Drosophila melanogaster: one gene and its partner. The protein of the gene in region 2 interacts with the protein of the main gene of each other region in a pairwise test. Each region holds a gene or a part of one and is shown on either strand. Other genes may lie near its edges.

The links. Proteins that work in one complex are often made in the same cells at the same time.
Region 1: the proteins of nord (region 2) and AP-1mu interact in a two-hybrid assay, tested with the Drosophila melanogaster proteins (one large-scale study listed by BioGRID).

The regions. Positions count from the first base shown.
Region 1 is NT_033777.3:9,556,339-9,562,323, forward strand, and holds AP-1mu (adaptor protein complex 1, mu subunit), read right to left. Parts: upstream 3,188-5,985; 5' UTR 2,912-3,187; coding exon 2,090-2,911; intron 2,031-2,089; coding exon 1,572-2,030; 3' UTR 1,374-1,571; downstream 1-1,373. Other genes in the region: BckdhA (branched chain keto acid dehydrogenase E1 subunit alpha), read left to right, coding at 1-200, 267-432, 549-1,098; MBD-like (Methyl-CpG binding domain protein-like), read left to right, coding at 3,503-3,693, 3,934-4,275, 4,585-5,074; CG9393 (uncharacterized protein), read right to left, coding at 5,589-5,663, 5,837-5,985.
Region 2 is NT_033778.4:24,240,492-24,246,476, reverse strand, and holds the start of nord (nord), read right to left. Parts: upstream 3,223-5,985; 5' UTR 2,934-3,222; intron 1,868-2,933; 5' UTR 1,771-1,867; coding exon 1,463-1,770; intron 1-1,462. UniProt on the Drosophila melanogaster protein: Secretory protein that acts as a feedback regulator of dpp/BMP, wg and hh signaling pathways.

The DNA of each region.
Region 1 (5,985 bases), on a different chromosome or scaffold from region 2:
CAGTGCCGCCGCCTTGGAGATGCGGGATCTCATCTACGGGCAGTATCGTGAAGCGGGTGTTCTGGTTTGGCGTGGCTTCCGTATCGACCAGTTTATCGATCAGTGCTACGGCAACACGGACGACTTGGGTCGCGGCAAGCAGATGCCCGTCCACTACGGCTCAAGGGAACTTAACTTTGTCACCATCTCCAGTCCGCTTTGTGAGTTAATATAGTCTTATTTATTTGATGAGAGAATGCTTATCCAGTTTCTCTGTTGTATGGCAGCCACCCAAATGCCCCAGGCCGTTGGTGCCGCCTACGCCATGAAATTGAGGCCAAACAACGATGCCTGTGTGGTCTGTTACTTTGGTGAGGGAGCTGCTTCCGAGGGAGATGCACATGCTGCCTTTAACTTTGCTGCCACTTTGGGTTGTCCGGCTATCCTCTTCTGGTGAGTAACTTTAAGATACATATTATTTTGATAAGATAACCTATTTTGGATGTATTTCTTATCTTATCAAAAATACCATTCAAATAAGTTTCTTCATGACGTACCTTTCTCCACAGTCGAAACAACGGCTTTGCCATATCCACACCATCGCATGAACAGTACAAGGGCGATGGAATCGCCGGTCGCGGACCTATGGGCTATGGAATTACTACCATTCGAGTGGATGGCACAGACGTCTTCGCCGTCTATAATGCGATGAAGGCTGCCAGGGAGTATGTCCTCAAGGAGAACAAGCCGGTGGTGTTCGAGGCACTGGCCTATCGAGTGGGTCACCATTCCACCTCAGATGATAGTACAGCCTACCGACCAGCGGAGGAGATCGAGATTTGGAACTCGGTGGAGCACCCAATATCCAAGCTTAAGCGCTACATGGTGCACAAAGGCTGGTTTGACGAGACTGTCGAAAACGAATATGTCAAGGACATAAGGAAAAAGGTTTTGAAGCAGATCGCAGTGTCCGAGAAGAAACTCAAGCCCAACTGGCGTGAGATGTTCGAAGGCGTCTACGCGGAGATGCCGGATCATTTGATTGAGCAGCGTAGCGAGCTGGAAAAACATATCGAGGCCCACAAGGAGCACTATCCCTTGAAGGACTTTGAGAAATAGATTCCAGATAGGTGCCATAAAGATGCTAACAAATCAGAAATCAAAACGAACCGAGAGACTCGATCGAAAGTGCATTTATTATGATTAAGCAATAGGCAAACAGTTTTTTGTGGGTTCAACCCGTTTGTTATGACTCATCTGTACAGGTGGGTCGGTGGATATGTGAAATTAGACACTTTGGGTTTTTGGGTTTTCTCTGACCAACGAAGAGGATAAACTTGGTTGCATCCTAGGTCTTAATTTGCACATACAAAGTGACCCACTCTGGTGCAGGTGTTATGAAAAGGTGTTAAAATTTATTAAATTTGATTTACATACAATATACATATACTGAAACAATACGAATACAAATATATACTTTTGACTTAACGCAACGCATCGCAGACAAAAACGCGGGTGGAGATGAAGCTACCTGTTGCAGGATGACTCGCTGAAGCTTGGCTGGAATGATGCAGGAACGGGAGTTGCCCCTTTCAATTGGTGCGTAGCTGATAGTCGCCGTTCTGCGTGATGTACCGCACCCATGGCAGCGCCTGATAGCCGCTCTTCTCGATGATCTTCAGATAGCGCACCTGGATGCCCGACGTGGTAAAGTAGGGAATCTCGAAGCGCACCTGAATTGGCGGCTTGCCCTCCGTATTGTCCTCGCTTTCCACGCTCGGCAGACCGAAATGTGCCCGCATTAGATACTCCTTGCCACCCGGGAACGATTTGATCGTCCAGATGATTGCGTTCTGCTCCGGTGCGTACTTGCAGCTTCCAATGGTGGTCTTGAACTTGGGTGAGTCCGCGTCGGCGGGCACTGGTATGACGATTTCCACGTTGTTGGCCGTCGATCTTCGCTTGAACTGAGACTTCGCCTTAATCATGTACTCCACACGGGAGTGGGCATGCCGCTCGATCACTGATTCGATCCAAATCAGGGGTTTGACCTGTCAACAGGGGTTTAGTTAGTCTTGCATTTTGGTGCTAAGTACATAAAAATACTCACATGCGTGTTCAGACGATAGGACATCAGTTCGAACTCGCCGTCCGGAGGAATGAACGAGATTGTCCGGTCATTCTCGAAGCGTGACAACCGCACGCACTGGTGGAACTTGACGTCCTCCAGCTCTACGGACTTTGACTTGCCGCGGCCCGTGCTCTCGAACAGAACCTTGTCGTTGAGACCCAGTCGCAGCTCTGGCATTCCCGACAAGTAGACGCGCATCTTAATGGCGCCCACGATCTCGCTGCGCAGCACATTGCCATTGGCGTTTGCGAGAAGATTCACCGACTCGATAACGTCCAGGAACACCTCGTTCTTGCGATACTTAATGCCCTCGGACCGCCAGGATACTGCATTGGTCACGGCCACCGGGATGCGGGGCTGTAGCTCCAGCTTATGACCCTCCTGCGTAATGTATTCCTGTAGAATTTTCGAGTCGGTGGTCTGCGGGTAGCCAAAGTCGAGCAATTCATCCAGCAGCTCGTAGATGATCACGAAATTGTCCCGAATGGACTCCTCCTCCAGCTCCTTGAAGTATTCCACAAAGACCTGCGCGATCTTGTGCAGAAAGACGAAGACCAGAGCGATATTAACGTTCTTATTGCGCGGCGTCGTGGATACGATATAAAGATTGTTCGTTTTGATGTAGGCAAATGTAGTCTCCGCCGTCTGAAGGATCGGAGTGATTAGGCCCTCCTCCTCGCGCTCCATCAGCAATGGCATGAATTTGTCGATCACGGCCATGTCGATGTTGTCACCGCGGTAGTTCCGCGATATCAGCACCTTGCCCTTCACGTCCAGAACGAAAATGGCCGACGAAGACATGTCTCTTGGTTCCCAGCAGCTGCCACTTGTCCCAGGTGTAAAATTCCCAATTGGATCGAGTGGGAGGTCGCTTCGATGGTTCTACTGCTCGCGGCAGGCGTTGCGCGTGGAAGTTGGCAACTGTCGCGAGGTGGCGATGAGTGGGCTAGGTCTATCAATGGGCTGGATTTACATATTCCGTTTCGTAGACTGGAAAATGCGAATGAAAACTCCGGAATTTCTTACGTCGCCTTTTCTGCTGCTTCTTTTTCTTATTAGTTGGCCCACCAGTGCTGTGAAATGTTCACATCAGGTGTTGGGCAGTGTGGCCAGGTGAGATTGGTCTACTGCTGATTAACTAGCGAATTAAGCTTAAAGGAAATGAAAAATGTGCAAGGTGTAACATCTTAAGGTTTCTGTTTTTAAATAAATACCTTTTAAATTATTTTCATTTTCCCATTGGTACCTTTAAATTCAAATCATAAATATATTGGAGAATGTAATCTAGCATCACTATTGTGCCATCCGGCATTTGTGGCCATCCGCAGTACGGCCACACTGCTAGCCCAGACGCTGCTTTTGTGGAATTGTTAATTATTTATTTCGGCGAGCATGCAAATGAACCCGAGCGTCACAATCGAGCGCAAACGCGTCGACTGCAGTGTCCTGCCAAAGGGATGGCAGCGCGACGAGGTCCGAAAGTCCGGCAGCAGCGCCAATAACAACGCCAGCAGCAACAACAACAGCAGTGCCACAGCCAGCAGCAACAACAACAATAACAAGGTGGATGTTTTCTACTACAGGTAAAGAAGAAGAGCAGAATTACTATATAGACTACTATATACCTAAAATCGGAACACTGCACGCTGTTTAATCGGATAAACGTTTATAATCACTTTCACTACCTTTCTGTTATTACATCCGCATAACCACACACACACACACCATATACACCACACACACGCATACGCCTATGTATACACACGCACACGAACTACCACCTAACCCACCAAAAATATCCATCCACCGCCGTGTCTGTTCAGCAGTCCCACAGGAAAAAGGGCGGAGGGAAAGCCACAGGACATTGCAATCCCTGATTTCCAGCCTGGCAAAATGCCGCACTGCGCCCTGCCCTCGCCCTCCATTTCGCTGTACCGCTGCAGCGCCATGCCGCTGCCTATAGCAAGCGGGGGCGGTAATGGGGCCACCAGCGGATCGGCGGCCAATGCCCTCAAGCGCAAGTTCGCCCGGAGTCAAGGAGGCAATGCTGCAGGAGCAGCAGGAGCTGCTCCTCCGGCAGCGACCGCCTCGTCAGCAGCAACAGCGACAGCAGCATCTGCTTCACCATCAACGGCCAATCGCCAGCAGCAACAGATCGAACTCAGGTAGAGCCAAGTGGATGAGCACTTGACTCTTGCATGTCAGCGTGTCATGTCTTGTTTGCCAGGACGCAAGGTCTACAGCCTGCGGCAATTAAAAAGCATCAAATGAAAAAATACCCAAAGAAACACACAATTGGCAAAACAATTCGTAGTTGTCTTCAAAAACGCTGTAGCTCTGTGCCACCTGAGATTTATGTTCCACCATCTCTGCATGCTAAAGCTTTACTTTACGCTTTGTCTAATGTGCTGTTCGGTGTTTTAGCTTTTTGAAGGCGTTTCTCTAATACATTTCCAATCTTTAATCCCTTACAGCCGAGCCCTGCGCACTGATGTCTCCCTGGTGCCTCCCATTCGACAGACTGCCTCGATCTTCAAGCAACCGGTGACGGTGATTCGCAACCATAAACAGGATCCCGCCAAAGCGAAGAATGAACCCAAGCATGGCACTCGGGAGAAGCCGAAACAGCTGTTCTGGGAGAAGCGACTGGAACGACTACGCGCCTGCCACGACAGTGGCGAGGAGCTAGACGACATCTCACTGCCCAAGACCATACGCACCGTTGGCCCCAATGTCAACGAACAGACCGTCCTCCAGTCGGTGGCCACGGCCCTGCATATGCTCAACGCCGGCGTACACGGCCAGAGTTCTACGAAGGCTGATTTGACCAAGAATGCCATGGCGTTTATGAATCCTGAACAACCGCTAATGCACGCGGTGATCATTTCGGAGGACGACATACGCAAACAGGAGGATCGGGTCGGAGTTGCGCGGCGAAAGCTGCAGGATGCACTCAAGACATGAGTTCAATGGTTAACCCCCATGCATCTACCAATTCCATTGTAGGCTCTAACATCTCTATCGTATTGACCCCTATTCGAAATCTACATTTAAGACTAGTGTGTAATAAACCAAATCCAACTCCAATCGAGGAATTCTGGTTTCTTATTGGACATCGAGAAAGCTTCGCTTGTCTTTTCCATGACAACAGGGCTCTGTTATCCAATTTTATTACGCTCAGATGACTTTAAAATGCTATTTTATACAAGACAGTTTAAAAACGAATTCGAACTATAATACATAAACCGAATTTTCATACTTAGTCGATTTGTTTGGCAAATCCTTGGAACGAAGCGTTATCTACGACGAGGGGATCATTACCTGACGAAATTTTCGGTCCAAAGATTTATGGCCAAGTAAATCGATCTCCTTCAGTGTTTAGGTAAACCTTTAAAGCTGGACAGTTTTTGTGCTTCATCCCCACATTGTATTTTAAAATATATATACTATACACATAGATATCGTTGCAGAGATGCGATTAGTCTAGGCCCTCCTCCATCTCGTCATCCTCGTAATCTATGCCATCGTAGTCCGTCGAAGAGCGTGTCGTTAGCTGCAAGGATGAATCAATCGGAATTTGCAATTAACTGAGAATTTTGCACGTGCTCAAGCTGAGGCTGTCTACAAGAGTGTCTGGAGCCAACAGAAGACATTGAACCAGAACTATCGAATAAGCTCCATCAAGTCAAGAGTAAAGAACTACAAATTTCAGCCAAAAATACCCACCTGGTTGTAAATCCCACGCCATGCCGCAAACGCTCCCATGGCCAAGACGGCTCCCACGCCGGCTACTATTTTGGTGTTCAGCTCGGAGTCTAGGAACTTGCGCTCCGAGGCCGTCAGACTGGCCTCCGTGCCACTGGGTGTCTTTGTGA
Region 2 (5,985 bases):
TTTATGATTTGTTTGCGCAAAAGTATAATGCGTCCTCCCCTTGATTGGCGGCATGGCGTGGAAGGATACGCACGGGGCCACTGGGAATGGGAATCGGGAATGGAAGTGGGAATGGGAATTGGTATGGGTATGGGTATGGAAATGGGTATAGGCATGGCCTGCTGATTCTAGCAAAACGCTTAATGGTTGCACGCGCCATAAACGCGATTCTTGCCAAAGCTTCGACTCTTTAGCAACAGTGCCAACTAGTTCCTTTCACACGCTCAGCAAACCGGGCAACTCGAGCCGAACGTCACGTACTCTGATTCTAGCGATGGATCTGGGCTCTCGGATCTCGGATCTCGAGTGCCGCATCTCCGATCTCGAATCTCCAGATTCCCGCTGCCTGGTCACTCGAGCTGCACTTGGGCAATTGGAGCACTCTCGCCGGGTCGCGCGACACCGATGCCCAGTACACACTCCATACATGAGGGGGGAAATGCGGAGAAAAAAACTCTAGAAGCGAACCGAAAAGAAGTTGACGACAAGCCACGACATTAATTTGAATGTTTGCTGGCATTCTGTGGCAAATGATCGAGTGTTATACGAGCCGAGGGCTTCCAGTTTCCCCGCTTCGCAAAAACGGGAAAAAGCCAAGCGCACTGGGTGCACGTTCACTGGAGAAGATGAAAACTGAAATCCCGGAGTCCAGCCAGAGCCTAAGCGAAAACGTGACGGGCCTCTTTTGACCCAGGCCCAAGCTGCGGCCCATCGGAAACCAATGAAAATCGCAAAAAAGAACGTTACTCATACGCCACGTGTAACGCAGTGCGAACAGTGGGGCAGAGGGAAGTGTGCGAACTTTGGTGTGTTGGCAGAAACTTTAAAGTGGCTGGCGAAAATCTATACATGGAGTGCCACAGAAACACCGGATAATCGAATTTATAAATTTTTGAAAGCAATTTAACGAACTAAGGGAACTTTTACTGGAAATCCGGATGTTCTTAGAAGTAGCCTCTCGCTTAAATAATATTATTAAGATGGAGTTATAGATGATAGGATCCCATCATTGATTAAAGTGGCACACTTAATCAAGAGGTTTCACTAGAATCCCCGCCTGACCCCACAGTGCGATTTGTGGCGGCAGCTGGAAGGACAACAAAACTCGCACACTAGACAAATAAGAGGAGAACACACACACATGCACACACACTTAAGCAGGAGCGTAGAAAATCTGGCTGTGGATGTTTTTTGTTTGGCCAGCCACACGTCGTGGTTATAAATTATTTTTTGCTCCTGCTCCAGCCTTTGCTGGCTTTGCTTCGTCTTGGAGAGGCGCCCCTGAGTTTGGCTCCTCTGGCCATCTTTCGCATTTGTTTGGCCGTAATTTGATTTGTGTGGCAGGCGGCGTCGCCAGCGCACTTAGCCGTATTGCTACCCATCATCGGAAACCCAGAAAGCACAAGCCAAATACCGCACTCACCGCTTCCTCTGCCGCTCCGCCAGAGCTATATGCACGGGCACGTCCACGTAGAGGTCCTCCAGGTCGTCGAAGTCCTTTAGCATCTTGCGGTACCGCTGCAGCGAAGGACACTTTTGCGGTGGAAGTGGCGTCGCCCTGGCCGCTGGCACACCGGCGTCCTGGATCAGCGGGTTCTGGAGCAGCTCCGTGGAGTCCAGAATGATGCGGTTGCTGGCCATCGGCAAGTGGGAGATCTCCGCGTGCAGCGACGTGCTCAGCAGGAACAGCAGCAGCAGCTCCACTCCTGGCAACATGGTGCTCCTTTGCATTAGTTCACTTTGTATATTTATTTTTCACTTGTTTGGTTCTTTTATTGAAGTTTGGGTTTTGACTAGGTGAAACAACCTCTGAGTGCGTGTTCTGCGGCTAAATTGATTTGCAAATTTTGTTAAATTAATTGCTTTTTGATTGGAACACTCTATAACTATGTTTTCAATGGTCGGCAAATTGGATTAATTTCTTGTTGTCGCATTTTTATTAATTGAACTAGAGGCAAATTTTAATTGGTGGCCAAAATGTACAGAATAGTTGACTTAATATGATTAAATTGAATCGAAAACTTTTCACGCAATTCTGCTTTTTCTGCTTGATAATTTATCAACTCGAGTTCCTGTTTAAAAAAGCAAACATTCCTTATTCTTAGTAAGTTTCGCAGTTTTAAACTTTGCTAATGTTAATCCACTTGCTTTGTAGAACTATACGAATAATACTCCCAACATCTCTACCACTCCTAATTACGTTGAAAAGTTTAAAGTCTGTAGTTTGATTTTCCCTCGCAATTTTCCTTTCAATGAAAGCATCGCAAATGCGCTGAGATACAAAATATTGTGTTTCTGCTCGACTTTTAATTCTCCGTCTCCCCCGAAGGGAAATAAATTGCGTTTCGCTTCTAATCCGTAAGTCCGTAAATCCGAAAATCCCGAGATGCGAGGCCCTCGCCCGGAGTCGCCCCCAACCCCCCAGTCGCATCCACCCCCGCCCGACTCGTCTCCTGATTCTCTGTCCTCCGCTCAATTAAGGCCTGTCAAACCTTTGACACACGTCGCCTGCTGTCCCCCAAAAATCCCCCAAGAATCCCCCAGCAGCCACCCACTTTTCTCCTTCGGCCAGAGAATAAAAATGAATTTCCTTGCGACTTTTTTTTTTTGGGGGACGGGGAGTTTCGCTGTGCGTCGGTTCTGCTCTTTGGAGATTCGGGTCCCAATTAATGGGGCTGCAGCGAGTCGATTCTCGGAACTGTTAGATTTGCTAATTGCGGCTGCCGCTGACCTTTCGCCCGGGGTCCCTCTTTAATTACGCTTCTGCGAATCTGCGTGTGCCGCAACAATTGGCCGGTGGGCGGCTTGGCTGGGGGCGTGGCGGGGCAGGAGCACCACCTGTGGCTGCCGAGTCACGAGCAATTAGCCGATGGCCCACGCACGAGCACTCTTACTTTTGCCTGGCGAGCGAGCACTTTTCATAAATTCGTATTTTGATTTGTGGTCGCACGCATAGTTGCGATTCTTCAGCGGGCACTTGCCGGCGCTTCCCCCGACTCGGCGAACACGCGTTCAAATTTTCCGAATTTTCCGTATTTCCGTATTTCCACTCGGAGCACACGCGACCGTTTCCCGGGTGCGGAAGTTCAGCTCTTGCCACTTGCTGCCACTTGTTTCCGCAGTATCTCGCCGCTCGTCCTCGTCGTCCGCTTGCCTTGACGTGCAAACGCAAAATGCCCGAGAGTCGTGCGCAAAGAAAGCCAAAAAGCCCGAGCGTCGAGAGCAGGAAGCGACTGCGACGCCAGCGCCGACCGAGGCAGCGACTGAGGCGGCGGTGACGCCAGCAGCGGCAGAGGCAGCGGCAGCTCCCAAGGAACGAAGAAGGCCCCAACGAAGTCCCGAAGACGGCCCGAAGTCGCCCCCACGCACACACACACGCTTACAAAGGCCGAAAAACGGCAAGACGGAACGGTACACTTGGGCACCGACTTCTGGATACCCGTTACGCGGTCTTGGCGCCAAAGATGCTGCATACTTACAAGCGCTGTTCACAAAGTAAGGTGTGCGTCATGAATGTTGATTAACTTTAATTTCACACGATTGAAAGTAGGATCTATGCTGCATAATTATGGCTACTTAACTGATTCTTATTAGTTTATTGTTTTCAAAAATTTCACCCGATGTTACGAACTCCACCCCAAACGGGGCATACCCCTTTTACCCAGCGATTAACGGGTATGGGAAAAAGAATACGAATAAGAATAAGCATAAGAAAAACAATACATACACTTTGGCTCTCCCCTAATTAATGCCCTCGCTTTCGGCCTGCCCCATTGATGGCTTGTGTTGTTTTATGTCGCGCCAACATTTTGATTTTCGGATTTCGTTTTCAATGAAAACCAGAACAAGAACAAGAGCCCAGAATCGGCGGAGCAGACTGATGTGCGTTGATTTTTATGTGCCGCACGTGACTTTCGATGGAAAGCCTGAGCGCCACTCGGCCGCGTCTCGGAAGGGGGGGGGGGATCCCCGCCAGCCAGCCGCATGCAAAGTGCCCCGCAAGAAATCGGAGCTGGCCGAAACACGGAAGATAAACATTAGATCCGAGTGGCAGTGGCAGTGGCAGCGGCACGGAGGCGTCGGAGTGCAGTGGAGTGCAGCTTTGGCTGGGGATTGCTTGGGGTTGCTGCTGTGGATGCAACATGCGACGAGGCGATGCTTTGGAAACGCTTTGACAGGCGAGTGTTTGCCGATTCGAGTGCATGTGCAGCTGGGTCCGGGCATTACATGTGTCCCCGAGTGATTAGGGCCACACCGGGGCAGCAGTATCGGTTACCAGCCAAGGCTGCGGCTGAGTGGAGTCCATTTCGGGGATTAAGCCATTAATTGCAGCGGAATCAAAGAAGGGGACACATGTGTTATAAGTTCAAGCCAAACATTTGGATTAAGTACCAACATTTAGAAGTTCACTTGTTTTTAAGCCCACCCAATTTTGAATACTCCGCTCCTCTTGTTTTGTAATTTAAGAGGTAGCGAACCAGAAGCCTCGTAAATGTCAGCTCGAAATTGTTATGAAATTTTCGCTGGCATTATTATGCATTTTGCTGATATAAACAAATTAGTTTTTGCTGTGCTCCGCCCTTTCCCCATCGCCCCTCGCCACTCCCCCGCCGACGCGCCAGCGATTTGGCTGGCTTCACCTGAGTGTGAGTGTGTAAGAGGGGCTTTTCCCGGAATTCTGACGGCTGAAGGCGAGGGAAAAAGGCAAGTAAAACAGCATTTTTGCCCTGTGACAGGAAGGAAATGAGTTGCGTCTGGCCGTAGCGTAGCAACAAATTAACAGCAAATTAGTTAGAAAAGCAGCCGCCTGTTTTAGTGACTTAATCAGTGTGGAGGAGTTGGGGCAGCGACAGAGACTCCGAAGGAAAGGGGGCACAGCATTGCGAGTTGACAACCGCCAACCTTGAAGGCGCCCCTTCTCCAACCACCAACCTCCAGCATCCAGCCTCCATCATCCATCCGCCGTCCACCTGGCTCCAGGTCCAATCTCATGCATAATGCAGGCCGCTGCCCGCCTGTCAGTGCGCCTCTGTCCGGATTCCCTGCCCCTGTCTCCGCCAGCTCCGATCCCCATGCCATCCCCATCTCCACGACGCCCATGGTGGCCCAGAGTCGGCGTTGCATTTTCAACAAATTAATTATTGGCGAAGAGGTGGAACAAGTCACTTAGCTGCTGCGAGCAGAATGGGCCCTTGTTCGAACGGCGATCGAACGTTAATTTGGCAGCAACTTAGGGCCTTTCGGTCGGAAATGTGCCCTTAATTGGGTTTAAATTTCGGGGAGTATATAATATTTGGTTATAGCAATAAATATAGCAATAAAAATCTATAAATCTTGCGTGATAATAATATTCCGACTACTGCAAATGTTTACTCAGTTCTCCACTTTTAATTGAACTGTGTGTACTTTCACGAATTGAAATCCTTTTAGCCTTCTGCTCACTCCCCCTTTTTTTCCCACTATGTTTGGCCAAATATCCTACACACTTTTGATTGATTTTCTTTAAATTGCTGACACGCCAGTAAATGCCGCGTGAATCAAATTGAGTGTATTCGCTGTTGACACAATACTTCAGCTGCTCCGTTTGTGCAACGATAGAGTCAACACGCTGCCCCCGACAATCGATCAGCGATTTGCGACTGCCAAACTGAGGCACTGAAATGCTGACGGACTGCCTCCCGCCTCCTGGCCTCCTGGCCTCCTGGCATCCTCGCTTCCTGGCATTCTGGCATCCAGCACCGATGCCTGAACTTATTGGAACAACATTTTTGCCTCACACTCGCACTTCATCAACGCAAAATGATTGGCATGCCTCCGTCGGCAGAAGCTATAGCCGAGCTGTACTACTATATAGCTGAAACTGAAGCTGGAAGCTGGGAGCTGGGAGCTAAGGGAGCAGGGGACTGGCGACGTTGGCGGCGAAAGCCTCCGACATGTGTAAAGGAA